Xenopus tropicalis: one gene and its partners. The protein of the gene in region 1 purifies or fractionates together with the protein of each later gene. This does not show direct contact. Links are inferred from orthologs where the notes say so. Each region holds a gene or a part of one and is shown in the gene's direction. Other genes may lie near its edges. The genes, in order: stk11, hsp90ab1, pip4k2a, cops4 and cdc37.

The links.
Region 2: the proteins of stk11 (region 1) and hsp90ab1 purify together in Homo sapiens (affinity purification with mass spectrometry; 3 studies listed by BioGRID and IntAct, counting the BioPlex papers as one, with this or other methods). This does not show direct contact. The link is inferred for Xenopus tropicalis from reciprocal best matches to the Homo sapiens genes STK11 and HSP90AB1.
Region 3: the proteins of stk11 (region 1) and pip4k2a purify together in Homo sapiens (affinity purification with mass spectrometry; 3 studies listed by BioGRID and IntAct, counting the BioPlex papers as one, with this or other methods). This does not show direct contact. The link is inferred for Xenopus tropicalis from reciprocal best matches to the Homo sapiens genes STK11 and PIP4K2A.
Region 4: the proteins of stk11 (region 1) and cops4 purify together in Homo sapiens (affinity purification with mass spectrometry; 4 studies listed by BioGRID and IntAct, with this or other methods). This does not show direct contact. The link is inferred for Xenopus tropicalis from reciprocal best matches to the Homo sapiens genes STK11 and COPS4.
Region 5: the proteins of stk11 (region 1) and cdc37 purify together in Homo sapiens (affinity purification with mass spectrometry; 8 studies listed by BioGRID and IntAct, with this or other methods). This does not show direct contact. The link is inferred for Xenopus tropicalis from reciprocal best matches to the Homo sapiens genes STK11 and CDC37.

The regions. Positions count from the first base shown.
Region 1 is NC_030677.2:100,081,269-100,086,815, reverse strand, and holds part of stk11 (serine/threonine-protein kinase STK11), read left to right. Parts: intron 1-278; coding exon 279-368; intron 369-3,875; coding exon 3,876-4,008; intron 4,009-4,082; coding exon 4,083-4,219; intron 4,220-4,975; coding exon 4,976-5,103; intron 5,104-5,547. UniProt on the Homo sapiens protein: Tumor suppressor serine/threonine-protein kinase that controls the activity of AMP-activated protein kinase (AMPK) family members, thereby playing a role in various processes such as cell metabolism, cell polarity, apoptosis and DNA damage response.
Region 2 is NC_030681.2:2,230,561-2,235,946, reverse strand, and holds the end of hsp90ab1 (heat shock protein HSP 90-beta), read left to right. Parts: coding exon 1-158; intron 159-242; coding exon 243-376; intron 377-452; coding exon 453-758; intron 759-856; coding exon 857-1,022; intron 1,023-1,568; coding exon 1,569-1,759; intron 1,760-1,847; coding exon 1,848-1,995; intron 1,996-2,133; coding exon 2,134-2,402; intron 2,403-2,492; coding exon 2,493-2,826; intron 2,827-2,944; coding exon 2,945-3,054; 3' UTR 3,055-3,831; downstream 3,832-5,386. UniProt on the Homo sapiens protein: Molecular chaperone that promotes the maturation, structural maintenance and proper regulation of specific target proteins involved for instance in cell cycle control and signal transduction. Undergoes a functional cycle linked to its ATPase activity.
Region 3 is NC_030682.2:26,603,844-26,610,034, forward strand, and holds the start of pip4k2a (phosphatidylinositol 5-phosphate 4-kinase type-2 alpha), read left to right. Parts: upstream 1-2,420; 5' UTR 2,421-2,696; coding exon 2,697-2,837; intron 2,838-6,191. UniProt on the Homo sapiens protein: Catalyzes the phosphorylation of phosphatidylinositol 5-phosphate (PtdIns5P) on the fourth hydroxyl of the myo-inositol ring, to form phosphatidylinositol 4,5-bisphosphate (PtdIns(4,5)P2). Has both ATP- and GTP-dependent kinase activities.
Region 4 is NC_030677.2:83,709,864-83,715,946, reverse strand, and holds the start of cops4 (COP9 signalosome complex subunit 4), read left to right. Parts: upstream 1-2,630; 5' UTR 2,631-2,647; coding exon 2,648-2,721; intron 2,722-3,802; coding exon 3,803-3,882; intron 3,883-5,027; coding exon 5,028-5,179; intron 5,180-6,083. Other genes in the region: leprotl1 (leptin receptor overlapping transcript-like 1), read right to left, coding at 2,274-2,289. UniProt on the Homo sapiens protein: Component of the COP9 signalosome complex (CSN), a complex involved in various cellular and developmental processes.
Region 5 is NC_030679.2:137,666,157-137,672,464, reverse strand, and holds the start of cdc37 (hsp90 co-chaperone Cdc37), read left to right. Parts: upstream 1-2,533; 5' UTR 2,534-2,555; intron 2,556-4,934; 5' UTR 4,935-4,967; coding exon 4,968-5,069; intron 5,070-6,151; coding exon 6,152-6,308. UniProt on the Homo sapiens protein: Co-chaperone that binds to numerous kinases and promotes their interaction with the Hsp90 complex, resulting in stabilization and promotion of their activity. Inhibits HSP90AA1 ATPase activity.

The DNA.
Region 1 (5,547 bases):
CCCTGAAAGGCGACCATGCTACTTTTGTTTGTGAGGGTGATGCACTCACCTATAGAGTGCCACACTTTAGAGATGGATGTGCTCACTTGGTGTTATGCGTGTTGTTTTCCCTAAGAAAGGTCCACTTGCTGTGATCTCGAAATTTTGTTTTTGCATATTGAAATCATTTTTTTTGCAGTGCTTTGGGAAAATGTAGGATTATTATAGATAAACAACATTAACACTCACTACCTTTTCAGTTTCTTTGCCATACATCTTTTCTTTAACTATTGCTATACGTATATGGTGATGGAATATTGTGTTTGTGGGATGCAGGAGATGCTGGACAGTGTGCAGGAAAAACACTTTCCTGTATTTCAAGCCCATGGGTATGTATAGTATTTCTGTTTGTAAAGCACAATTTGTTAATCTGTATTAAATATATTTCATTTTTTAATTATTTTCCAAAATTGTTTTCTCTACTCTTTGGAATGCCTCCATTATTTGCCCACTATGACTTTTTTTATAATATGCATTTTAATCATTTCTTCTCTTTGCTTTAATTTCTTGCTTTTCTAGCATATAGCCACCCTAAATCCCCTCTTCTGCCAGTTCTTCTTTTGGACCATAATTACATGCATTTATGATATTTTTTATGCTCTTGACTTGTTGGAATTTACTTCACCCTGCCTCTACTAGATTGCTTCGCTGAGTCATGTTACTTATGCTTGCTTCTACCTGACTCTCATAGCCAGGCAGCCTTTTGAGTTAATGTTAACTGATTCCTGTGCTTTGCTAGTATCCTGTTTTCTCTTATAAGCTCTTATGTTCTGTTGTATTGTGATCTTGTGTTGCGATCAGTGATTCTGATGTGATCTTGCAGCATTATTTCATTTGCTTTACCTTTTTTTGCCATTGTTTTGATACTTTGGCATTTAGTTGGTATTTTCAGACTGTTTTCAAGATTGTAGTGGTATTGTAGCATATTTCTGCATGTTTTCTCAAGTTTTTATCCACTAGTTTTTGCCTTCCCTTGTGTTCTTGAGATGTCTAGGTGTGTGAATTGTGTACTACCTGAACCTTTTTAAAGGGGTTAATTAACTTCAAATTAGCCTTTGGTACAAGCCTCCAAGTCAGGACACTTTAAAAAATGAAAATAAAAAAAAGAATGGGATTGTCTGCAAATAATTTAAACTCTAGATTTAGTTGAAAATATTACAAAGAACACATAGCAATTGTAAGACTGAGAAATGTTATTGTTTTCTGAAAGATAGAAATGCTTATTTTGATGCCAGCAACAAGCAGGTTGTATAATGCTGGGTCTTTTAGAAGTAAAGATGGGGAGAGACACTCCACTCTATAAAACACTGCACAGGCAAATATTGCAAACATTTAATAATGTTTCTCAACATAAAATTGCAAAGAATTTGGGGAATTCAGTATCTACATACACCATCTATAGTACACAATATCATTAAAAGATTCAGAGATTCCAAAGAATTCTCTGTTGGCAAGGGATAAGGCAAATGCTATTGGATGGGCGTGAACCATGGGCCCTTAGGCATCCCTGCATTAAAAACTGGTATGACTCTGTAGTGCATGGACTGCATTACTGCATCAGTAATTTCTAAATGTTTTTATTTTCTTCTAAAATGAAAAGAAAAACAATATATTAACACGATCCAGAAACATCACCATTCCAGATGGACTGAGGCAAAGTGGAAAACTATCTTGTCTGATAAATCAAAATTTTAATTTTTTTTTTGGATATCATGGACACCATGTCCTCTGGCACAGTTCAAAAGGCAGCATCCGTGATATTATGGGGGATGAATTAGTCCACATGGCATAGGCAGCCTGCACATCTGGGAAGTACCATTAATGGTGAATGATATATACAGGTTTTGAAGCAAAATATGCTGCCATCCAGACAACATCTTTTTTAGGGAAAGGACTTGCTTATTTCAGCAATACAATGCCAAACCACATTCTGTACCTATTAAAAAGCATGGCATAATTAAATGAAAAATACAACAAAGGTGACCTGAACTGTTGAGCAGTTCCAGTATTTTAAAAAAATATTTTCCTGGCATTAAATTAAAATGAGCATATATATTTCAGGATTAAAAAGTTCTCTGTTTCAGCATTTGCTATGTTGTCTTTGTACTACTGAAAATCATTAGATTCTGGTTTTATTGACGTATTACACGGTGTCCCAACTTTTTTTTTTTTTTTTTTGGAAATCGGCTTGTATGATAAATTACGACAGTTTGAAACCTTTTAAAAAAAGGTTTATTTTGTGGAATTGTTACATAGTTACATAGGGTTGAAAAAAGACTAGAGTCCATCAAGTTCAACCCTTCCAAGTAAACCCAGCACACACAATCTATACACTCACATACATAAACTATATATACACAACTACTAATACTAACTGTAGATTTTACTATCACAATAGCCTTGGATGCTATGCTTGTTCAAGAACTCATCCAGGCCCCTCTTAAAGGCATTAACAGAGTCTGCCATTACAACATCACTAGAAAGGACATTCCACAACCTCACTGCCCTCACCGTGAAAAAACACCTACGCTGCTTCAAATGGAAGCTCTGTTTCTCTAATCTAAAGGGGTGGCCTCTGGTGCATTGATCGTTTTTATGGGAAAAAAGAACAACCCCTATCTGCCTATAATCCCCTCTAATGTTTTTGTACAGAGTAATCATGTCCCCTTACAAGCACCTCTTTTCCAGAGAAAACAACCCCAACCATGACAGTCTAACCTCATAGCTTAAATATTCCATCCCCTTTACCAGTTTAGTTGCACGTCTCTGCACTCTCTCCTTGCTCATTAATATCCTTCTTAAGGACTGGAGGCCAAAACTGCACTGCATACTCAAGGTGAGTCCTTACCAGGGACCTATAAAGATGCAAAGTTATGTTTTCATCCCTTGAGTCAATGCCCTTTTTGTACAAGACAGCACTTTATTCGCTTTAGTAGCCACAGAATGACACTGCCTGGAATTAGACAACTTGTTATCTACAAAAAGCCCTTCTCCATTAAAGATACCCCCAATACACTACCATTCAGTAGATAGTTCACGTTTATATTATTTCTACCAAAGTACATAACTTTGCACTTGTCAACATTGAACCTAATTTTCCAGTTTGCTGCCCAATTTTGTCAAATCGCTCTGCAAAGTGGCAGCATCCTGCATGGAACTTATAGTTTTGCACAGTTTTGTGTCATCAGCAAAAATAGAAACAGTACTGTCTATGCCCACCTCCAGGTCATTAATAAACAAGTTAAAAAGCAAAGGACCAAGGACTGACCCCAGCGGTACTCCACACAACAACAACACTGGTCCAATTAGAAAATGTTCCATTTACCACCACTCTTTGTAATCTATCCTTCAGCCAGTTCTCTATCCAATTACAAATATTATGTTCAAGGCCAATATTCCTCAATTTGATCATTAACCCTCTGTGAGGTACTGTATCAAACACAAAGTCCGAGTGGATGACATCAACTGCCATTCCAGCATCGAGGTTCCTGCTCACCTCCTCATAAAAGGCGATTAAATTAGTCTGGCAAGATCTGTTACACTTACGATTAACCTTTTTATTCAGCAGCTTTCCAGTTTGACATTTCAACCCTGATTGCCAGGGATGAATATACCTTAGCAATAAGGTAGTGGTTTGAATGCCAGACTGAAGATTGTGAACCTGAGTAGATATATAAGTAATACAAAGTAACAGCAACAATACAGTTAAAGGCTCACAGAGCAATCTTTTTGACTGTTCTGTAAAGTTGCTAAGAATATGTTATTCTAAAACATACTAAAAGTTACCTTAAAGTTGAACTAGCCTTTTTAACACAATGAACTCTTTTGATCCACAGTTATTTTTGCCAACTCATTGATGGTCTGGAGTACCTTCACAGTCAGGGAATTGTTCACAAAGACATTAAACCAGGGAATTTGCTGCTAACAACAGATGGGACACTCAAAATCTCAGACTTGGGGGTGGCAGAGGTATGTAGCTGTGGATTATTTATAAGAGATCTTAAACATTTGGCCATTTGACTTTTTTTTTTTTCCTTTTGCAGGCTTTGCACCCGTTTGCTGAAGGTGATACTTGTAGGACCAGCCAAGGATCTCCAGCTTTTCAGCCTCCAGAGATTGCCAATGGCCTGGATACCTTCTCAGGATTCAAAGTGGACATCTGGTCAGCAGGAGTAACGCTGTGAGTATCTACATTCACCACTGCACTTACTGTGGACGACAGCCATGTTGACACCTGATTTGTTAGAAAATACTATTTGCTTCAGCATGTAGCTATGGACTATTTTAATTAAAACAAAGCTGGTTAAGGGGCCAAACTGATCATTTTGAGATGCCATTTTGATAGAAGATTGTTCAATCCCATCAAATTTCTGTCTGTCTGTCTGGACTCAAAATCCTGTCTACTGAAGCATTACATTGGCACCAGTAGAAGGCCACCACAGAAATTACCATATTTTTGTGTAACTTTCAATTTCTTTATGCTCTAGTCACTTGGCCCATGGGTTGCATATGTTAATAAGTGTCTAAAGGTGCCCATACACCTGTTTGGCGACTCCTACGGGTGGGCGATATCGGGAGAATCCAGGCTAAGGCAAAGTCGGTCCGGGGACAGCATCAACGAGCCGATGTGGTCCCCGATCTGACTAGATTTTCTAACCTGCCCAATTGAGATCTGGCCGATTTCAGGCCAGATATCGGTTGGGCAGGCCGTCTGTAGTCCCCATACACGGGCCGATTAGCTGCCGAATCTAAGGGACCGATACCGGCAGCTAGAATCGCCCTGTGTATGGGGACCTTAGCTATTTAAATATGTCGCCAGCTATAGATCTTATCTCAGCACTTTCATTAAAAAAAGATAAGAAATTTGTATTTCTTGAATATTTCATTTATATGCAACAGAACACACTCTATAAACACATACTGTTTCCCTGCATAGGTATAATATTACCACAGGACTGTATCCATTCGAGGGGGACAATATATATAAATTGTTTGAAAACATTGGAAAGGGAGACTACTCCATCCCAGAGGAATGTGGACCCTTGCTGTCTGACTTGTTAAGAGGTGAGAAATAACGCAGGTCAGATTTAAAAGCGGAACAGTTATGTCTCATGTGGCCCCCTTCAATTTGCTGACTAAAAGGATAGAGCGATGCAAGAGAGGACATTGTGTTCTAGCTATTATGTTAGCTATCTGTTCACTCCAGCCTCTATATATTATGTTTTTGGCTAACTACATTGGAAACATTTGTTTATTTTGTTCAGCCTATCTCTAGTTTGATTTTTACACTAAACTGTTCCTTTTAGGGTAAGAACCCAGGGATTGAGTCGCCAGTGATTGATCTCTGCTTTCCGCTCCGAAAAGACTTTCCACCGGCAACAATAGGAGTCGTTGGTGGAAAGCCCTTCACATCTCTTCATTTTCCAATGTTGAGCAGACTTGCCTGCAGGAAGAAAATTTGCGAGATTTCGGATTACTGAAGAGATGTGAAGTGCTTTCCACCGGTGA
Region 2 (5,386 bases), on another chromosome or scaffold:
TGGTGCTGACATCTCTATGATTGGTCAGTTCGGTGTGGGTTTCTATTCTGCGTACTTGGTGGCAGAGAAGGTCTTGGTCATCACCAAACACAACGATGATGAACAGTACGCGTGGGAATCCTCCGCCGGCGGCTCTTTCACCGTGAAGACTGACCATGGTGAGTTTGTGTTCAATTGGACCAGAATTCCCCTAAAGGCCTGTAAGTTGGCACCACTAACCCCAAACTGGTATTTCCTGCTAGGTGAGCCCATTGGCCGTGGTACCAAAGTCATCCTCTACCTGAAGGAAGATCAGACAGAGTACCTGGAGGAGAAACGTGTCAAGGAAACCGTGAAGAAACACTCGCAGTTCATTGGCTACCCAATCACCCTCTATGTGAGTATGGCCGGCCAGCTGGGGGCAGGGCCCTGGGTCTGATGTACGATTGGCTCACTATTTGTCTCCCCGACAGCTGGAGAAGGAGAGGGAAAAGGAGATCAGCGACGATGAGGCAGAGGAGGAGAAAGAGGAAGAAAAGAAGGAAGAGGAGGGAGAGAACGACAAACCTAAAATAGAGGACGTGGGCTCCGATGAGGAAGAGGAGGGGAAGGACAAGAAGAAAAAGACAAAGAAGATCAAGGAGAAGTACATCGACCAGGAGGAGCTGAACAAAACCAAGCCCATCTGGACCCGTAACCCAGACGACATCACCCAGGAAGAGTACGGAGAGTTCTACAAGAGCCTGACCAATGACTGGGAGGATCACTTGGCTGTGAAGGTAAGAAGAAAAAAAAACCCCATAATGCACCGCTTGTTCAGCTCTGGGTTCCACACTCTCTCCTGAGCGCTAACACCCCCTGTTCTGCTTCCCCCCAGCACTTCTCTGTGGAGGGGCAACTGGAGTTCCGCGCTCTGCTCTTCATTCCCCGCCGCGCCCCCTTTGATCTGTTTGAGAACAAGAAGAAGAAGAACAACATCAAGCTGTACGTGCGCCGCGTCTTCATCATGGATAGCTGCGACGAGCTGATCCCAGAGTATCTGAGTAAGTACTGGCCCGAAGCTTAGTGGGCCCCCTCCTTCCCCCCCCCCCCATAGGATGGGATGCTGGGTAAAGCCTTCCAATAGTCTGGCATTAGATGCTTCATTAACAGTCTAGCATGTAGATCTTTTGCTTGATGTGGTGACACAGGCAGGCAGGGCCCCACGCACACCCATAGGCACACAGGCAGGCAGGTAAGTGTGTGGGGGGGCAGGGGCAATTAATTGCCTATTGTAGTATTTCAGCCCAAGAATCCTTGTCTCTTACGCACAGGCCTCTTGGTGCACTCGCGTATCTATAAGGGGAAGACACACGGAGCTACTAGTAGCAGCTACAGAAACAGACAATGTTGATCATTTGCTGATAATTGTCTCTACGTGTGTCTAGCAGAAGGAATTCTCAGTATTGTCTATGGCAGGGGATTTGGTAGCTGCTACTAAGCTGCGCACACACACACGTAGGCACACAGGGCCCCACAGATGGATCCTGAATGTAGGACTTTTGGGCAGTCTCTCCCTGTGCCGCCTCTAACTCTTTTCTCTCTTCCAGACTTCATTCGCGGGGTGGTGGATTCTGAGGATCTGCCCTTGAACATTTCCCGTGAGATGCTGCAGCAGAGCAAGATCCTGAAGGTGATCCGCAAGAACATTGTCAAGAAGTGCCTGGAGCTCTTCACCGAGCTGGCCGAGGACAAGGAGAACTACAAGAAGTTTTACGAGGCTTTCTCCAAGAACCTGAAGGTGAGCAGTGCAGGAGGGTGCCCTGGGCTGTAGTGGGCGGAGCTCTTGTTCGTCCCAGTGGCTCTTGCTGACCTACCTCTCCTTGCAGCTCGGCATCCACGAGGATTCTACCAACCGCAAGAAGCTGTCTGAGCTCCTCAGGTACCACACTTCCCAGACAGGCGACGAGATGGCCTCCCTAACAGAGTATGTGTCCCGTATGAAGGAGAACCAGAAAAGCATCTACTACATAACTGGTAAGTGGCCCTTGCAGCAAGATATCCCATTATGGGCTCCCCTGGGAGAGAGGGGTATTCCTCTTCCCCTGGGGTCACTTCTCCGCAGCTCGCTTAGAGGAAGAGTCTGACACGTGACCCCTCTGTTCTGTCTCGCAGGTGAGAGCAAGGACCAGGTGGCCAACTCCGCCTTCGTGGAGCGGGTGAGGAAGCGTGGCTTCGAGGTGGTCTACATGACTGAGCCCATCGACGAGTACTGCGTGCAGCAGCTGAAGGAGTTCGACGGGAAGACGCTGGTGTCTGTGACCAAGGAGGGCCTGGAGCTGCCAGAGGACGAGGAAGAGAAGAAGATGATGGAAGAGAACAAGACCAAATTTGAGAGTTTGTGCAAACTGATGAAGGAAATTCTGGACAAGAAAGTAGAGAAGGTGAGGATGGGGCAGAAGGAAGTAATGTTGCCCCTCCCCTAGTATAGCCTTGTCCTGCTAACCCCCAACCTGCCCCTTGTTACCCCGCAGGTCACCGTGTCCAACAGACTCGTCTCCTCTCCCTGCTGTATCGTCACCAGCACCTACGGCTGGACCGCCAACATGGAGCGCATCATGAAAGCGCAAGCTCTGCGGGACAATTCCACCATGGGCTACATGATGGCTAAGAAGCACTTGGAGATCAACCCCGAGCACCCCATCGTGGAGACCCTGAGGCAGAAAGCGGAAACCGACAAGAACGACAAAGCAGTGAAGGACCTGGTGGTGCTGCTCTTCGAGACCGCGCTGCTGTCATCCGGCTTCTCCCTGGACGACCCCCAGACGCACTCAAACAGGATCTACAGGATGATCAAGCTGGGTCTGGGTAGGTGTCGCTGAGCATTATGGGAATGGCTACCAGAATCCTTCTGCCATAAAGGGGATTTGTATGTAGGGTCCTGAAACCACCACATTTAGGGTTAACTTCCCCTTGTCTCTCTCAGGTATTGATGATGACGATGCAACAGTGGAGGAAACTTCCCCCTCGGTGGCAGACGAGATCCCACCCCTAGAGGGCGACGAAGATGCTTCTCGCATGGAGGAAGTCGACTAATCGGTTTGCTGCCCGCTCGTCCTGCCCCCTCCCACCCGCGTATGTGCACTGTCTGTAACTCGGTAGGGGGGCGACTTCTCCCTTGGACTCTAAATATCACATGATACTGGGGATGGACTTCCCTCCTTATAGAATATATTTGGGGGAGCTTCAAGACTGATGGCTGCTGACTTTAACCCTTTCCTCTGCACCCCCCTTGTTGTGTTCCAGTCTGAGCAGTTAGTTATGTAAGTTATTGTAGCAGTATGGCAGCTAGCTTGGCTTGAGGTAGCCCTGAGTTAGTGGCCCGCTGTTAGCCAGCTGCTGGGGGGGGGGGTCTGTTTGACTCTCTCAATGCACCTTACAGGCCCCCCCTCTAATCCTACCCTCTGCCACTATTGTAATGGGCGTGTCCCTCTGTGCCCCCCCTGAGGCACGGGGGGTACTTACTGGGAAGCTTTAGAGACCCCCCTGCTGCCTTCTCCCATTCACTTGCATGGGGGGGGCGATTGAATGTGCTGGTGTTTGCAAATAGAAACGCCAGGCCAGTCTGGGGGGGTGAGGTACTTCTGCCCAATGCTACCTCAATCTGTAGCACCCCCAAATCTGCTGAGTGGTAGCCCCCATCTCTCTGACTGGAATCTCGTGCCCCCGCCCCCAGGATGTCTTGAATGCTGAGACCCCACCCCCATCCTACACATCTCTCTATCGAGAGCCTCAATACGGAACTTTATTTTATTTTTTGTTGTTGTAAAGTTGAGAAATGTTGCGCAAAATAAAGATCTTTTTACAGTGAAACAGTTTGTCTCCTGTTTATGTGCTGCCGACTGCACCGGATACAATGCTGTGTTACAGGGCTGTTTCCCCAACTATAAACCTTATGTGCAGTAGTTACAGCCTTGGATTTCTATAAGGCTTGGGATACTGGCATGATATTTATGGGACACTTTGTATCTCTAACACTGTTACACAGCAAATAATTCCCTCTGTCATTTATCCTTTTATTCTTCAACCAACAAATGTATTTGTAGCTGTAATATTGGTGTGTAGGCGCCATCTCAGTGCCTTGTGCCCGAGTCTGAGCTTTCAGCCAGCGCTACACATTAGAACTGCTTTCAGCTAACCTATTGTTTCTCCTACTCCCATGTAACTGGAGGAGTCCCAAGCCGGACTTGGATTTCTTACTATTGAGTGCTATTCTGATACCTACTGGGAGCTGCTATCTTGCTCCCTTCCCATTGTTCTGCTGATCGGCTGCTGGGGGGGAGGGGGATATCACTCCAACTTGCAGCGCAGCAGTAAAGTGTGCCTGAAGTTTATCAGAGCACAGCTCCTTGTTACAGCCAGGAGAGGGTGCTGTTCTGAGCATGATTCAGCCTGGCTGCCCCTGCTCATATGAAAATGATAATGCCCCTCCCTGTGCCTTGTTGCCCAAGGCCATTATGTTTGTGCTGCTGGTTTCTTCTTGCCAAGTCCATAAAGCCCTTAGGGTGGGTGTTGTAGGAGGGGCCACTGGTAAAGGCTTAAATGACCATCTCTGGGGGTTGGGGGGGGTTGTACCAAAGAGCAAGGTGGGAGTTGTAGTTCCTTAGAAGTATGTAAGGGTGGTGCTGTCTTGTTCTATTGGGGGTCCCCTTATTGCAGCACAACTGTAACACTGTGTGGGAGCAGTGGGTGGCGCTGTTGCTCCCTGATGTTCCTAACTCCGCCCCATATATTTATATGCAGAGATGCTGCCCCACCCCCCCAGGGGCTTCTATGCCCGGCTGGGCTAATCAGCAATTCCTAGAAATCCGTGCTGCAGCCCGCACTGGTGTATGTGCCCAATACCCCCTCTGAGTATCAGGAAAGGAACTTGCCCCAGAGTGGGGAGCAGAATCAGATCTCTGGCCCTTGCCGGCCGCACTGACTTATGGGATTTGTGGTCCTTGTATCTTTTCCTCCTTTCCTGTTGCCTTTTGGCTGCCGGAGGCTTCTGGGAGCTGTAATTTGTATGGATTTTTATTAAAGGGAAAGTTGCGTTCTGGGGGAAGGAGGGCCACCAAACCCACTGCCAGTCACTTATCTGCCCAAATGTGGGGCAAATAGAGGAATCCCTTACTATAAAGGAGGGAGCTGCCCTATCGATTGCAGGATATTTCAGGGGGAAGGAATTATGCAGATTCCTGTATGAAGCCCGTTGTTTTTGACCCAATATAATGATTGTCTGCCACAGAGCCAGGGTTCCTCCCACCCCTAGGCCCTAGCCAATGAGCAGTGAGCACAATTGCCCTAGGGGCTCAGTAAAACAGTGGGCACTGGAAGCCTATTAGCCACTATCTCTATTATTCAGCACCATTCTGTACCACATGGG
Region 3 (6,191 bases), on another chromosome or scaffold:
ACTTTGCAAGCTGATAGCTAAATGAGGTCCCAAGTAATGTAGATATTATTAGACCTAATGTAGGATGACTATTATCATTTTTTCATAATGACCTTAAAATGATAATATTATAGGGCCCTTTTTAGAGCTGTCAACCTCATTCTTTTAAACTTTGGGGGACCTGCGGCGTGCTGCGTTAGCCGAAAGTGACGTCAGTACATGTGCACACATTCCAGAAGTGACGTCACAAGCGTGCACAATTGACATCTGAAGCCAGCCAAAAAATTCACCAAAGGCTGAATGTGCATGATTGCCTGTAATTTAACGGAGAACTGTGGGAGATGGAGGAAAAATTAGGAGAATGCTATCAATGGCCAGGAGACCAGGGAAGACAACACCCGAAAAAGTAGGGGAGGGGTTGACAGCTCCACTGTCTTCTGACCAAATGGGATCTGAGCCCCAAAAAGTCATACACTACTCTAAAGGCGGCTGCATGCCCAAGACTAATGCACAGGCCCAAACAGTCCTCCACCAGTCACTTAAATAGCAGCTGTCTATGGCAGCCCCTCTGGCATTTGCCAGAAGCCACAGATGGCCAGTCGGGCCTGCAGTGTGCCCACAGTGCCTGTTGTTTGACATATGCAGCTATTTACGGTGTGTGGTTCCAGTTTTATTGGCCCATTCCCCTAAACATAACCTTATTATGTGGCCCTCCATTTGCATTGCCAGTTGGATAATGTAGATAGTCATTCGCCCACAGCTCTTGCCTTGGCCCTAAAGCTGGCCATACACGTGGCGATCTGACGATGTTTCGTACGACCATCGGTCGTAAGATCCGCCACACACCATTCAGGGCTGAATCGGCAGGTAAGGAGGTAGATACAATAGGATTTCTACCTCCTTCTGCCGATTCAGCTCTGAAGGGAGAATTTTGGTCAGGCGCCTTCTATGGCACCCGATCAAAATTTTCCAACTGGTCCGATCGGTGAGTCGGCCGATATCAGCAGCTTCCTGCGATATCGGTCGACTCGCTGACATACCATACACGCACCGATTATCGGACGAAATGAGGTTTCGTATGATAATATCGGTGCTTGTATGGCCACCTTAACCCGTCCTTCAGCCAATATGGCTTATGTCAGCCAAGTTCGGAATACTATCTATGGCAGCGGTTCTCAACCTGTGGGTCGGGACCCCTTTGGGGGTTCAAGGACCCTTTCACAGGGGTTGCCGAAGACCATTGGAAAACACATATTTCCCACGGTCTTAGGAATAATTTTATGGTTGGGGGTCACCACAACATGAGGGAAAGGGTCCAGGCATTAGGTTGAGAACCACTGATCTATGGATAACTGTGCATGTGAGGGAAAACACATTCAAGCACTTGGGAACTCGCCACTGTTACTATATTTTAGGATAGCAGAAAACACAAGACTTTTGGGGTTCAAAAGACATGTGCGTCAATACAATTCGATTTTTAAAACGTGTAAACTCGGGGCAAGAAGGTACTCTCTCTCTCACGCCCTCCCGTACGTATTCTGCCCAGGGCACTGGCTGATGAAACGAAAAATCCTCCGTGCCCCGGCGCCTTTCCATGTGAGGCAGGGGCAGGGCCCGACCGCCCCTCCTTTTATTCTTTCCTCCTCCTCCGAGACTGTCAGTCAAGCAGCAGAAGCTGCAACCGGCCGGAAGCGCTGGGAAAGATGTGGCCAGCAGCAGCAGCAGCAGCCAGAGACGCGGTAGGGGCTGGAGGATAGGGGAAGCGCTGTCAGTAGGACATAGAGGAGTGAGTGGTGCAGATGCCGGTGAGAAGCGGTTGGAGGGGAGGGAGCGGGCTGTGTGTGTGCATGGCAGCAGCAGGGAGGGCTCTGGCTGCAGGAGAGGATGTGAGCTGGAAATGCTGCAGGGTGCCAGTGTGCTGCCTCTAAATGCCGGGGCGCTACTCTGTCCATGCCCGTCTGTCCATGCCCGTCTGTCCATCTCTGCTGCTACCCGCTATTGGATTCTTTGGGGGTTTTCTGTTCATTTTGGAAGAATGTCTCTGCTTGTACATTTATTAAGTGGGGATCGTTTTCTTTCTTCACACGTAACCCTTATCTCCCAGTTCTGCTATTTCAGATGCCTAGACACGTCCTGCCCAAGAGCTTCTAGTGGGGAATGCTGGGAGTTGTAGTTTAATATCATTTGAATAGCTAAAATCTGTGCCATTTATTTGTTTATTTGCAGTTGGAGCAGCTGCTGCAGTGTCTGTCCATCCTTCGCTGCCACCCAGCAGAGCTGAGATAGATGGATAGGATACGATCCAGTCCAGGAAACAGGAGGGAGGCGCATTAAATCAGACCCCTGTGCCTGGCAGGAGACAGAGGAAAGACCAGAAGGGGCCAGATCTGAATTGGATGTGGGAGAAAAGAGATAGAGGGAAACGCCTACAGAGCCAGAAGATCTCTCTCTCTGTCTCGCACACTCTCTCACACACACAGACACACACACACTTCTCCTCTGAGCAGTCTTTCCTTTCCGGGGCTGGCTATAGAAAGCCCTGCCTGAAGATTGCACTCTGGGCTGTGCTTCTCTTTTCAACTTCTCCTATATGCCTGTGAAGAAAACTTTCCTGGATCTTGCCATTTTTTTGGATGTGCCTATAGTGTTGATAGATCAAAAAATCCAATTTCCCCTTCTAAAGGACAAGTGGGAGGAATTTCTGCAAGGGGACCGCTATGGCTGCTGTCAGCACCGCAATCTCCACCATGGCCAGTAAGACCAAGACTAAGAAAAAACATTTTGTGGCCCAGAAAGTCAAATTGTTCCGAGCCAGCGATCCTTTGCTGAGCGTCCTGATGTGGGGAGTGAACCACTCGGTAAGGGAATATGACTGAGTGGTCCAATGGCTAATTGTTAGCTCTCACTGTCGGTGTCCTTTGCTATTGATTTTATGGTTGCTGATGTTAGGACATAAGGGTATGTGACCTGTGAAGGTATGATGCCTGGCTGCTTTTTTTTTATGATGTGGCTCTCTGTGATGAATTAAAAGAGGTATCTGATCTGCAGCCTTACAGTTGATGTGAAACTACAACTCCCAGAATTCCTTAATTGCCAGATTTTGGGATTTGTATTTCCACGGTAGTGTTGCTAGTCTTGTCTATAAAAAGGTCATGATTTTCTGTTGCGTATTCTGTAGTCCTGTGCCATTTTATGGGATGTTGACTCTTATTGGTTTTGCCTCATAATTATGCAGCCCATAAGATATAAGAGCTGCGGGTCTCCATGCTGCAGCCTTGGCTAGTTTAGGTTACAGCAGTGTTTATTAACCATCACCAACCATGGATTTGTATGAAGCTGCTTGATTTTTACTTGCCCCTAGGCAGTGCATCAGTGAACAAAGGCAAACCGGGCTGCTTGTGTTCCCCTTTATCTAATAATTTGCCCACTTGCACAGGTTTGCCTACAGCTCCGTGATGCAGGGCTTTTGATCTGCGGAGAGTTGTCGGCTGATAACAATATTTATTTGGCTTATTGTTGTCCTTACCTTGGTTTTAGCCTGATGCTCATCTCTGTACTCTGTAGATGGGAGGGTTTGAGGAAGCTTTTAAGCAAAATAATTTGTTTAATGGAAAGATAAAATAATAGGTCAAGGATTGCCCACTCTGCCAGTGAACTGTGTGCGTGCATGTTTATGTGTATACACATAATATCACACATGAACAAGTTTATGGCTGATGATGGCGTGGTATTGCCATTGCTGATGTGGTCAAAACAGCCCGAGTGCCATAGGTCTAGTACAAACTTGTCCCTCCAGCAGTTTTAAAATTATTTCCCCATTTATACTAATCCTGTAGTTCTAGAACAGTTGGAGGGCCAAGGTCTCTGCTAGCTTGGCATCTTGTTGAACTGTAGAGATATCACTGAGGGCAAACCTTTATCATCACTTTACACTTGAGAAACAAAGAGGTTATGCAGCAGCTGCATCCCTTTACACTTTATAACAGGATTCTCACTGAATTAATGACAGGTGGTACCTATGGGTTTAAACTGCCATTCTCTTCCAGGAATAAAGACCATCTTCCCCTGTTTACATTACTGCATTATACTGGCGGAGTGAGTGGTGCTGTATCAACTCCCCCCCCCCCCATGCACTGGAAACTGGAACTCCTGTGCTATATTTGGCTTCTAAAATATGGCTTAGAGATTCCCTGTTGCATTGCTTGGATGTTTGTATTGTGATCCCTCAGCCAGGGATAAACAGATTTCATAGGAGATGTATCTTCCCAGTTCTAGCATTAGTAAAGGAGAGATGAAGCTTGAATGGTTGGTAGTGTGCCCGCGCTTCAGTCTGCCTGGCAGGACATCTTTTGTCTCTCTGGGTTATGAATAGATCTGACTTCTAACTTGCACTAAAATCTTACTGCATTCACGGCAGTGCCATTGACTCCAGGACTCCTGTGGAGTTCCCTCCTATGCTTCGCTCCTCCGAGCCTTGGCCGATCCCGGAGTGTCACCCGTGTCATTTTAATCTGATTAGTAGATAGAGAGAAATATGATCGCTGCTTGTTGATGGCAGGCCCATGAAAGTTTAAATATCTCTGTGGGTCTTTGCCCGTGCTGTGACTTATTAGGGGACTTAATGTTATTGGAAAATTCAACTACAAAGCGGTTGGAGGACTCATTAAATGAGGCAGATGTTGCTGCCATTCAGCAAATGTAATTATGGCATGTTTTCCGTTGCATTATCTTAAATTAAGAAATAGCATGCTGGAGTACTTTAGCACCATGAGCATTGGCACACTGCGTGATCTGTACTCTACCAGCTGTTTTACCAGCATTATTTGGGAGTATTATAACATGTGTGTGCTGTGACTGCCAAATGCATAAGTTCATATATAACAAAACTACAAACTTACCAGCTAAGGCTCCTGGGAGTTGTATTACAGCACATTCCTATTTCTATTAATGATATGGAACACAATATTATTGGCAGTGTTTTTTCATTATTGTGTGCATATTGTTAACCTATCTATCCTGCCTGTTTCCAGCTAGTTGATGGTCTGGGTCGCTCACCCTAGCAAAAGAAATCGCAAAGATCCTGAGGCTTTTATTTTGAGCTCACTCCTGTTCACCATTTTGACTTTAAGGGCAATGACGATTGTCATTGACACTTTAAATTACCTTTTGATCTGGAAGAATAAAGATTGCCACACATAAAACATGTTACATGCAGCAATCTGGTGTAATTGTGGGAAAATACAGAAGAAGCTAATTTTTCAGGTGATTACCGTTCCCTGTTTGTCATTACCCTTAACCAGCTCTCTGGTTGCTTTGGTAATTAAGCCCTAGCAACAAATATAATATGAGGGGAAACTGTCAGACCGCAACCTTTAACTCCTCGTGGCAGTTTTTGTTTTGGGGAAAAAATGCTTCAGCATTTTAGGTTGATGACACAAATGGGGAACGTGGGGAACTTTGTTATGCGTGGGAAATTGCGCTCCCCGCAGGCATCAAAGCTCCTGACAATACTTTGTACCAGGATGAATCGAAATCACTGATGAATCGAAAATGTCTTTGTCTGCATTTGCGTGATTACTAAAGTAAGATGGCCATACAAGGGTGAACGAAAGCTGCCGACTGGGTCCCTTCAGATCGATTTGGCAACTTATTGGCCTGTGTATGGGGCATCCCGAAGGGCCTGCACCTGCTATATCTGGCTAACAATGAGCCATATATTAATCAGGCTGGTTTAAAAATCCCACCAGAAAAGGAACGCTACAGCACATTGATGCTTTTTTTTTTTTTTTGTCTGACAGATCTTCATAGGTCCCAGTGGCTCCTAGGGCCAACAATTTAATCAAACTTGCATTTGAATCAAATGAGTCTCCAGCCGCTTTAACATATTATACTTTATTTTTAAAAAGTCCCATTATAACTACAATGCGGTATAGATAAGGCACAAAGATCTGTACCTCTTTGCTCATAAAAGCTTTCTGCATAGCAAATGGGACCCACAGGTGCAACTATATTTTCTGCAACACTTAGTTCATGCAGAAGTACAAACTCAGAATGGCATATTGTCTCTGCTTATTCATTGTGGGTTCTGGCAAATGCCAGAGGGGCTGCTGTAAGATGCCATAGTCAGTCACTATTTATTGGGCTGGGGGGGCTGTTTGGGTCTCTGTGTACTTGGAATGCCAGGGCCTATTTTGCATCACAGTCCAGACCTG
Region 4 (6,083 bases), about 16 Mb from region 1:
CGAATAATCTCAAATAGCCAGCTATTCCCATAGGGAATCTAACATAACGGTAAAATAATGCATTGCTTTCTTGAATAGTGCCGATTTCTGTAAGACAACTAGAAGGGCATCTTTTGAAATCTTCTCATTTCTTGTAACTATATGGTGAACAAAAAAAAACAAAAAAAAAAAGCAGACATCCAAAAAAGGTTTTAACAGACAAAACATACAGAAAATATCTCCCCTGTTTGTTCTTGTGTCTCAGATGACAGCTTGACCACTTCATTCAACAAAAATCCAAATGCAACTTCAGAAATAAATATTATGGCAAAAAGAAGAACATGTGCACCTCCTGGCAAAAGGTGTTCACCACTCAAGCAGGTAGTGCTTGCTTTTGATGTTAGCAGCACAAAAATTTGAATACAGATAATCAGCAAAAGTTACATTCTATAGAGCAGTTAAAGTGTTTTATACTTACTATTAGAATGGATATATAAACCAATTAAGCTACTCATAATTGTGACTTACATTGTAAATAACTTTGCACCATTATGCATTGGTAAAACAGCACCAAACTAGTGATGTGCGAGTTAGGAAAAAATCAACACCCATCTCCAACTAACTAGCATTACTAGCTTACTGTAGTCACTATTGTTCAGTATGCCCAGTTTATTGCAATTTGCTGTGTTTATAAACAAGAGTAGCCTTCAGGATTGTTAAACATTAACAGTCTCTCTCTAAAGATATCTCCACCTAAAAAAGGTTTGTTTTTGTGTAGAATGATTCAAAGCTGCATAGTATCCCAATAATCAGCAAAAGTTACATTCTATAGAGCAGTTAAAGTGTTTTATACTTACTATTAGAATGGATATATAAACCAATTAAGCTACTCATAATTGTGACTTACATTGTAAATAACTTTGCACCATTATGCACTGGTAAAACAGCACCAAACTAGTGATGTGCGAGTTAGGAAAAAATCAACACCCATCTCCAACTAACTAGCATTACTAGCTTACTGTAGTCACTATTGTTCAGTATGCCCAGTTTATTGCAATTTGCTGTGTTTATAAACAAGAGTAGCCTTCAGGATTGTTAAACATTAACAGTCTCTCTCTAAAGATATCTCCACCTAAAAAAGGTTTGTTTTTGTGTAGAATGATTCAAAGCTGCATAGTATCCCAATAATCAGCAAAAGTTACATTCTATAGAGCAGTTAAAGTGTTTTATACTTACTATTAGAATGGATATATAAACCAATTAAGCTACTCATAATTGTGACTTACATTGTAAATAACTTTGCACCATTATGCACTGGTAAAACAGCACCAAACTAGTGATGTGCGAGTTAGGAAAAAATCAACACCCATCTCCAACTAACTAGCATTACTAGCTTACTGTAGTCACTATTGTTCAGTATGCCCAGTTTATTGCAATTTGCTGTGTTTATAAACAAGAGTAGCCTTCAGGATTGTTAAACATTAACAGTCTCTCTCTAAAGATATCTCCACCTAAAAAAGGTTTGTTTTTGTGTAGAATGATTCAAAGCTGCATAGTATCCCAATAATCAGCAAAAGTTACATTCTATAGAGCAGTTAAAGTGTTTTATACTTACTATTAGAATGGATATATAAACCAATTAAGCTACTCATAATTGTGACTTACATTGTAAATAACTTTGCACCATTATGCACTGGTAAAACAGCACCAAACTAGTGATGTGCGAGTTAGGAAAAAATCAACACCCATCTCCAACTAACTAGCATTACTAGCTTACTGTAGTCACTATTGTTCAGTATGCCCAGTTTATTGCAATTTGCTGTGTTTATAAACAAGAGTAGCCTTCAGGATTGTTAAACATTAACAGTCTCTCTCTAAAGATAACTCCACCTAAAAAAGGTTTGTTTTTGTGTAGAATGATTCAAAGCTGCATAGTATCCCAAGTCTTCCATGATGCAAAATGCTGTTTTTGTGTGGAGATCTTCTAGAAATACCAAACGTTCTAAAGTACGATTTGTGCCAGTAAATTCTTGTCCAGGCATCAAAGAGACTGCAAAATATTACACTACACTATACTACAGAAACCAGAAAAATAAAGCTAATAAAATCTACCAACATGAATCCCCTTTGAAGTACAGAGCTAAACAAATATCGAACATTTTGTTCCAGTCATTAATTTGCTGAGATATCGTGCTACATGTATTGTGAGCTATATGTATAAGCAACATAAACAAACGAGAGCGTCAAGTACATATTGCTTTGATGCTTGCATCGATTTAATCCGCGGCAATTACCTTTTATGCCTGCCATGAAGCTGAGCACACAGGTCCTGCAGCAGAAGAGATTTAAGCGAATATTCTGCAGACAGGAGCGAAAGAATTTCTGGACCTGTTCAGAACCCACACAAATAAACCAGGGGACAACCTCTCAGAAAAATGAATGGAGCGATTTTCGCATTGTAGCGGCTAGTTCCTATCCTCGGAAGGGACCTTCGTGACGTCACGGTCATGTAGTCACAACCCATCTTTTTCCGCCCACCATTCACTTCCTGTCTGAGCGCCTAACCTATCGTAGCGCAGGTCCTATACTAAGCGGTCACGTGACTGCAACACCGGAATCATTTCGCTATAGTTCCGAGTGGTTTCAGTGTGTCCGAGCAGAAAGCAAGATGGCAGCCTCTGTCAGACAAGACCTTACACAACTGATGAATTCTAGCGGATCGCATAAGGATCTCGCCGGAAAGTGAGTTTGCCGCTAACAGAACTTTTGGGACACATTTACGTTAGCGCGTAGGAACTAATAAGTGTGCATATGCTTGTGGTTAGTGCTCTGAGGGGGCTTTAGTGCCAGTCAAAAATTCTATTGGGCAGAAATGTTCAAATGAAAGAAAGGAAATGATTATATTGTGTGTAGATGAGTGATGTTACCGCTTATTGAATTGTTATCTGCGAGCCAATGTATGGCTTAGCATGGATAGAAAAGGTGAACAAGTAAATATAAACCAGATCTGACATTATAAATGTAAAATCAGTCAAGGAGTTCCGTGATGAGGTGTCTGGTATTTATGATTTCAATTTCATTTAATTGTTTTTTTCAAGTTCAATAAAACATTTCTACTGCACAGATTAGATGTTCCTACTGTACATTTGCAGCCACATGAGGAAAACAATTCCCCCAGTAGAAGATATACTAACAAACTGCAGCTATTACAGTCTTTACAGATCTCCCACTCCTCATTCATTATATCTCCTCCTCATACCTATCACAATTTTTTGCCTTTAATCCCCTATTTCTATGTCTTACATTTCACCCAGCCATTCATACTTTCTTCTTCTTATGTGTCGTTTAACTTTTCATAATTATACTTATTTACACCTTTAGGATAATTTGCATTCGCACTTTCCATCCTATCCTGTTATTTTTTAAATATCACTTTATTCATAAATTATTTAAAAAAAGAAGATAAAGGCAAACATAAGCAAATGTAATTAATATTCATATTAATGTAAACCATTAATATTTGTTTATCTACATAAATTAGTATATTTAGATAACTGTCAGATATGAGTGTTAGTGTGATGAACAATTGGAAGGGGGAATAAGCACCTAGTGGACGGTAGTTGCACCAAGTAGCTAAAAGTATATTGTGGAAATAAAAACCTAAATTGAAACTGAAACCTTATAGAGTGACCAGGATTTTGAATTCAAGCTTTACTTGACAGGAGTTGCAAAAACACAGTCCAAGAAGCCAAAAATATGTTTTCCTATATTATCCCCCATTGTTTTTCTAAGTGCTGGTTAATTTATCTTTCATGTTTTATAGGTACCGACAAATATTAGATAAAGCACTCCAACTTCCTGGCCCAGAACAACTTGAAGCCTTGAAAGCTTTTGTTGAAGCAAGTATGTTTGTATTTTTGGGTGTATAAAGGGTTGCACTATTGGGGAAAATGGGTTCAGTAATTATCTGACATAGATTATCTGACTTACATTATCTATGATAATATATAATATATATCATATATTATATATGATAATAGGAAATGTGAGTGCAAGTGGTGTGTGTGTGCAGGCAGTGGAAACCCAAAGATTCACATATATGAGGAATAAGAATTTTTCACAACATAATGGCAGTGTCTACCACCAGGGGTGTCAAAATGTCTCCTCTGCAACTGTTTTGAATGACTGTTTTGAGCCTTCCTTATTCTTGTGCAAGTTGAATAAGTAGGGCTTTTGCTGAAAATATTTTTTGCCCGTTGTGTAAATCACAAATAATATATAGTTTTTGTGTTTTGTTTTTTTGATAACCAGGGTAAACTGGGAAACTAAAGCAAAGGTCAAGTATGTTCAGCAAAAGCCCTATTTATTGAAGTTAGATTGAACAAGGGGGTATACTACCTCTTTTAGTTGTAAACTGTTGTGCAAAACATTGTTTCTGTATTTCACCTACTGTAACCCATATTTACCACTCAAATCAATCATGTTTGCAGTTAAAGGGGTTACAACTTTCAACAGAGCTATCTCACTCTACTCTTGGCATGTGCAGCTAACTTGCCACTATCAAAACTTTATTAGAAGATGCTGCAGTAGTTTTCTTTATGTATGCAGTATTAGGCCTGAATGTGATTATTGGGCAGAAAGATTCTAATTCTTAGACAGGATTTTGCAATAACCCGGGCCCCTTGCCCTGGAAAACGACTTTGCAATTAATGTTTATTGTTTGATATAATATTTTAATATTGCTTTGGCCTATAAAAGTATGGTAGTGTGTGCTGGGATTTGATTTAAAGGAGGCATATCATGTAAAAATAAAGAATGTACCAATGCATAATACTCCTCTAAATATAGAAGGATTGGTCTTAAAAAAGCTTTGGACTGATTTATTGAAAAATTCCTCCATTCCCAGGCTGTACAGGGGGCCGGCGGCACTCAGCACACTGCGCTGTATGATAGGAACCAGTCAGCAGCTAGGCTGACCTGATAGACAACCAAAGCCTTTACTTGTTTACTTTACTATCTTGAGTAAAATGCATGATATTTTTTTGCAGTGGTAAATGAAAATGTCAGTTTGGTGATTTCACGTCAGCTGCTCACTGATTTCTGTACCCACCTCCCCAGCCTGCCTGATGGCATAGCTAAGGAAATCTACCACTTCACCTTGGAGAAGATACAACCGAGAGTAATTTCATTTGAAGAACAGGTCAGAGGAGGGGTCTAATGTTTTGGCTGGGGGAAGTCTGTAAAATTAGAGGCCTCAATGAACCAAACATATAATGCAGTATCTTTAAAAGGGTAGTATACCCATTTTTTTAAGTAGTATACTGAAGAGAGGCATATGCTAAACATACTTTTTGCCTGTTGCTGTAATTAAGAAATATCTGTCATTAATCAAGTTAATTGTAAGCGCCTCTGTTAAAGTAATTGTTTTACCAAGGTCATAAATTTAGGGCATTTTTCCAAGCTGACACTAGGCACCTTTAATACGTTTGTTTTCAAATACAGGTTCAAAATAGAATCTTTATGGTTCTTGATTTTGTTCCAGAAGCATGAGATTTTTGGCATCTATAAAGGGGTAATATATGTTATATAAGGACCAGTAAAATTAAAAATTATAGTTTTATATGCATTTAAATATTATGTGCTGTTATCCTGCAATGGTAAAAATTGCTTGTTTGCTTCAGAAACTATTGCTATTAAATATATAAATATGCAGTGTAGCCATGGGGAAAGCCACTCAAGCTACCAGGGCAAAAAGGCAAAGGTTTACGCAGCAGGTAAACTATACTATCTGTAGAATACAGGTATGGGGCCTTTTTTCCAGAATGCCCGGGACCTGGGGTTTTCCGGATAAGGGATCTTTCTGTAATTTGGATCTCCAACTTAAATCTGCTAAAAAATCATTTAAACATTAAATAAACCCAATAGGCTTGTTTTGCCACCAATAAGGATTAATTATATCTTAGTTGGGATCAAGTACAAGGTACTGTTTTATTATTACAGAGAAAAAGGAAATATTTTTAAAAAAATGTGAATTATTTCCTCAAAATGGAGTCTATGGGAGATGACCTTTCTGTAATTCGGAACTTTCTGGATAAATAGGTCCC
Region 5 (6,308 bases), on another chromosome or scaffold:
TGGCCTTTAAAATTAAAATGAAATACCTGATCTTTGTGGTGACTCTGACCTGGTAATTCCTATTCTATTGTTTGTCATTGTTTTGGTTCTTTTGAGCGGCGCTGTGTGTTCTCCCCTTTTGCTGAAAAAGGCTGCAAAATATATGTAGGCACTTTAAAACACATTATAAAGTACATCACCTACCGTACATAGCATGCTTAGTGGACATGGTTACAGCTATGTAATTGTGATTACTGCACCCCGTTCCAGAAACCACACAGCTGGCCACACATTGGCCAATAAAAGCTGCCAATTCTGCCATTCCGGACACAGCTGGTAATATATTGGCCCATGTATGAAGTCATTGAAAGGGCCTGCCAGATGATTCAGACAAATTTTAACACTCCCGGCGGGTGTGACCACCTTGATGGGTCTTTGTAGACTGTATGTAGGGGCCAGGGTTGCCAGATTTATTTTTCCAAACTAGCCAAAGTCAGTTCTAAAACCAGCCCAAAAATAGCCAAAAGCCACTCTGAAAATAACCCAATATGTGCAATGAAAAAAATTCTAAAAAAATAAAAAAACATATGGGTAAACCTGCCTTTTTAAAGTGTATAATCACTACCCAGTTACTGGGATGGCTGATAATTCCCTGCCCTCTGTGCCCAGTCCAGTAGTAGTCTGTCACTACAGAAATAGATTCCGAATGTTGCATTAACCCCAGACTTGAAACATATATGGGTGCGTTGAACTACAACTCTCAGAAGCCCCAAGGTATCCTGAGAGTTAAAGCTTAAGGACCAACTGCAGAACTGCCCCCACATCCCAATAGAAAGTAATGGTACAATCACATACCCTATAGAGCAGGGAGCAGGTTGCAGAACATGCAGGTTGAGTCTGAAAGAGCAAAAAAGAATACAAAATGGAGCCTCTGTCTATACTGCCCAACTGCATGCTGGGTATTGATTGTAGTTTTATATTAATCCTAGCTGTAGGCTAATTGTTAGATACAAACTACATTACCCAGCATGCAGTGGGACAGCCACACTAGAGGGAAAAACTTTGGCTAGTTTCCAAACTACAAACCCGCCAAGGCGCTAAAAAATAGCCCAAATCTGTACCTTGGCTGTACATTGGAACCCCACCTGGGCTTTAAACTAGTAGAAGAGTTATTATAAAATTATGCTTTTTTACACTTTGAAATGGCTTTTACAGATTGTTTAAAGGTTAAATATGCTAATTGCACAATTGTGTGTGCTAATGAAGTGTGAGACTATTTAATCAAGTTCAATGCACTTGTTTTTATGCCTGAAGAAGGCTAATTTGGTCATTTGGCCCTGGGGCCAAACTACGGAATTATAATGACGGGTATAGGCAAGTCATTTTGGGGACTGCATCAACGAGCCGATGCGGTCCCAGATCCGTCAAAATTTTTTAACCTGCCCGATTTCAGGCCAGATGTCGGTCATGCAGGCCCGTCGTTCGTGCCCCTACACGGGCCAATAAGCTGCCGAATCGGTCAAAAGGTGCCCATACACGGGCCGATTGTAGCTGCCAATATCGGTCCCTTGGACTGTTTCGGAAGCTTATTGGCCCGTGTAGGGGCAGGAACGAGGAGCACGCCCGACCGATATCTAGACTCACATTGGCCACATATTGATCGGGCAGGTTAAAAGATTTAGTTGGATCGGGGAACGCATCGGCTCGTTGATGCAGTCCCCGAACCAACTGCCCCATTGCCATTATAATTCGATTGGCCCCAGGGCCAAACGATCAAATTTGCCTACATGTTCCCCGATATCACCCACCCGTAGGATCTTCACGTGTATGGACACCTTAAGGGACCGATATCGGCCGCTAAAATCGGCACGTGTATGGCCACCTTAAAGCACAGATCTGCTTGCCTGGCAATTAGGCACATTTGGTAACTGACCCTCAACCAATACCTAATGGAAACCAATTATATATTGCTTCAAAGTGATTTATATTTACAATTGTAACGACAAGCAGTATTTGTATATCCCTTTCTGTTCTCTGGTTTTGCTACATTGTTTCAGGAGTCAGAACCAGCAGCGCAAACAACAGTAACAGCCAGGCAGACGCTGCTTTGAACAAAAATCACAAAATATCAAAATGATTTATTTTTCTTTTTAATGTATGTATACCAGAAAGCTGCCTAGAATTAAGTTAAAATAAAACAGATTCCGGATGGTGTTCCCCTTTCACAATATAAGCAGTTGTTTCATGTTTTCCTCCCCCTTGGGCCGCCTATAATGTTGATTGTGGAAAAACCCTTCGCATACCATCCTATAAAGCCGTTTCTATCTCCAATTCCCCTCCACAAACCACTCCCTACGGCAGCAAGAACAAACCTGCCTGTCTAGCAAAGGCGGAAGTGACGCAAGGAGAATGGAATAGGCAAAAAAGGAAGTCGGCCCGAAGACTCTAGCGTAAGGGCAAATCAGCCGCGTCGAGGTTAAGGAAGTGATGTCATGGAGTGGGCAGGCTGAGGCAGAGAGTGCAGGAGCTTTCCAGAAGCTTGCGAGGGGGCCTGCAGCTGCACCCTGGTGTGCCAGGTAATGGCTTCTTCCCACAGCTGGCTATTTCTCTTATACCTGCCTGCGGTGCTGCTATATCCTATTTACCTATACGGACAGGCTGTTTGGGCAACAGTTTAAGGCATTAAGCAATACTCCCTGGTATAGTGAGCGCTGTTCTTGCCCGGGTAGCTGTACTACAACTCTCACAATTATTGAACATATACTCCAGACTTAAAGTATACTGGGAGTTGTAGTCTAACAATATCTGGGAGCCAGGCTTTATCATCATTAATGGCTGGGGCACAGTATATTATTTTCATCTACCCCCCCCCCCCCCATATCCCTGCCATGTTTCTGATTCTAGTCCCTGACATGTGGCAAGTAAAGCAGGAGTTGGGGGGTCGCACTGTCACATCTGGGGGGGGGGGGGGGTAACCATCAAATATTACATTACTGTTGTTTTTTTGATTTGCCAGGAAGGATGTAGAGACAAAATTATACCAGGAAATTTACTCACCATAACAGAAAAGTAACTTTATATATCCCCCAGTTAGGGGGGGATTTGGGGTGAGTGCTTATTTGTGCCCTGGGTACCCCTGGAACTATAGCAGGGTGACTGTTACCCCAATGTTTCTATATATCTGTAACCTTGTTATGGGCTAAGGGGGCCCAGCCTGAAGGCCAGTTAGGGGGGGATTTGGGGTGAGTGCTTATTTGTGCCCTGGGTACCCCTGGAACTATAGCAGGGTGACTGTTACCCAATGTTTCTATATATCTGTAACCTTGTTATGGGCTAAGGGGGCCCAGCCTGAAGGCCAGTTAGGGGGGATTTGGGGTGAGTGCTTATTTGTGCCCTGGGTACCCCTGGAACTATAGCAGGGTGACTGTTACCCCAATGTTTCTATATATCTGTAACCTTGTTATGGGCTAAGGGGGCCCAGCCTGAAGGCCAGTTAGGGGGGGATTTGGGGTGAGTGCTTATTTGTGCCCTGGGTACCCCTGGAACTATAGTGGGGTGACTGTTACCCCAATATTTCTATATATCTGTAACCTTGTTATGGGCTAAGGGGGCCCAGCCTGAAGGCCAGTTAGGGGGGGATTTGGGGTGAGTGCTTATTTGTGCCCTGGGTACCCCTGGAACTATAGCAGGGTGACTGTTACCCCAATGTTTCTATATATCTGTAACCTTGTTATGGGCTAAGGGGGCCCAGCCTGAAGGCCAGTTAGGGGGGGATTTGGGGTGAGTGCTTATTTGTGCCCTGGGTACCCCTGGAACTATAGCAGGGTGACTGTTACCCCAATGTTTCTATATATCTGTAACCTTGTTATGGGCTAAGGGGGCCCAGCCTGAAGGCCAGTTAGGGGGGGATTTGGGGTGAGTGCTTATTTGTGCCCTGGGTACCCCTGGAACTATAGCAGGGTGACTGTTACCCCAATGTTTCTATATATCTGTAACCTTGTTATGGCTAAGGGGGCCCAGCCTGAAGGCCAGTTAGGGGGGGATTTGGGTGAGTGCTTATTTGTGCCCTGGGTACCCCTGGAACTATAGCGGGGTGACTGTTACCCCAATGTTTCTATATATCTGTAACCTTGTTATGGGCTAAGGGGGCCCAGCCTGAAGGCCAGTTAGGGGGGGATTTGGGGTGAGTGCTTATTTGTGCCCTGGGTACCCCTGGAACTATAGCAGGGTGACTGTTACCCCAATGTTTCTATATATCTGTAGCCTTGTTATGGGCTAAGGGGGCCCAGCCTGAAGGCCAGTTAGGGGGGGGATTTGGGGTGAGTGCTTATTTGTGCCCTGGGTACCCCTGGAACTATAGCAGGGTGACTGTTACCCCAGTGTTTCTATATATCTGTAACCTTGTTATGGGCTAAGGGGGCCCAGCCTGAAGGCCAGTTAGGGGAGATTTGGGGTGAGTGCTTATTTGTGCCCTGGGTACCCCTGGAACTATAGCAGGGTGACTGTTACCCCAATGTTTCTATATATCTGTAACCTTGTTATGAGCTAAGGGGGCCCAGCCTGAAGTCCAGTTAGGGGGAGCTTGAAGACCTCTGTATTAGCTTTTAGTGGGGGAAATTCAACACAGGACAGATAGTCCTTCAATGCATTTTGTAGAGACAAAAAGATTAGAAAGGCTCCATTACCGTTTGGCCCTAGATTCAGTCCTTGATAGTGATGAGGCAGAAGCAGTTATGACAGTAGGTACTAGTAACTGCTGGAATTGCATTGGCTCTGTCGAGGTATTTTGGAGATAATTATGAACACTTAAGACATAAGAGGATCGTGCTTAGGGCCTTATGGATACATCAGGCTTTCTAGACACACAGGAGCTGCTTCTGTAGCAAGTAGTAATATAGACCTTTTATATGTTTGAATTCTTGTAAACAAGTCTTTCTTTATGCCCTTCATTTCAGTGAATCTCTTGTTTGTCTGATCTCTGCTACACAATGGTGGATTATAGCGTGTGGGACCACATTGAAGTTTCTGATGACGAAGATGACACTCATCCCAACATTGACACTGCCAGTCTTTTCCGATGGCGTCACCAGGTAATGCCACATAGGGGGGAAGATTCTCTCTCCTTTCCTCATTGAAAATGTTTTAAAGGAACAGTAACACCAAAAAATGAAAGTGTAAACTAAAATATAATGTGCTGCTGCCCTGCACTGGTAAAAGTTGTGTGTTTACTTCAGAAAGTCTACTATAATTTCTATAAATAAGCTGCTCTGTAGCCATGGAGGCAGCCGTTCAAAGGAGAAAAGGCACAGGCACATAGCAGATAACAGATAAAACACTATTGTATTCTACAGAACTTATCTGTTATCTGCTATGTAACCTGTGTCTTTTCTCCTTTTTTCCAGCTTGAATGGCTGCCCCCATGGCTACACAGCAGCTTATTATATAAATTATTAGGGCTGGGCGATATACCGCTTAATACCGAATACCGGTGTTTTTTTTTTTAAAACTATATTCATTTTTCAGATACCGCAATACCGGGGTGTCAGGGTACTCACCCGTGTGGGCTGGTCTCGCACGCCTCCTTGCGCACGTACATGTCAAAGCGTGCACGTCCGCGACGCGCTGACAGCACCAGTTCTGTGCATGCGTGGGGGGTATTTAAAGCTATCAAACGCCTCCTCCTGTGCTATGTTGTCTGCGGCCTTGCCTGGGAAACTAAGCCTGCCTGATTTACCTTACGACTTTCTGTTGCCGATCCTTCGCTTGCCTGACTCTGATTTTCGATACTGCAGTAATTATTCTCTAATTTATTAGGAAATGGGGTTAACACCTAATCATGCATGGAAAAAAAAAATACCGTCAAATACCGTGACACCGATATAATTTTGAAAAATACCGTGATATAAATTTTTGGTCATACCGCCCAGCTCTATAAATTATAGTAGTGTTACTGTAGCAAACACACCAGTTTTACCAGTGCAGGGCAACAGTGCATTATATATTTATTACTTTAAAGCTCTTTCATTTTTTAGTGTTACTGTTCCTTTAAGCTGTAACATCTTGAATTCATTTCTGTCTCTGTTTTAGTTGTTTGGCCAAGTAACAGGGTTCCTGGTCTTCTGTTTTGTTGCTAAAGTTTAAACCGTAATGTTTGTCCTCCTCTTCTTTCTAGGCCCGCGTGGAAAGGATGGAGCAGTTCGACAAGGAGAAAGAGGAGTTAAGTAAAGGGACCAGCGATTGTAAGAAGAAGCTGGCAGAGTGTCAGAAGAAGCTGAATGACCTAGGCCTTAAGGATGGAGGACAAAGTGACGTACAGAAGCTACAGTCAG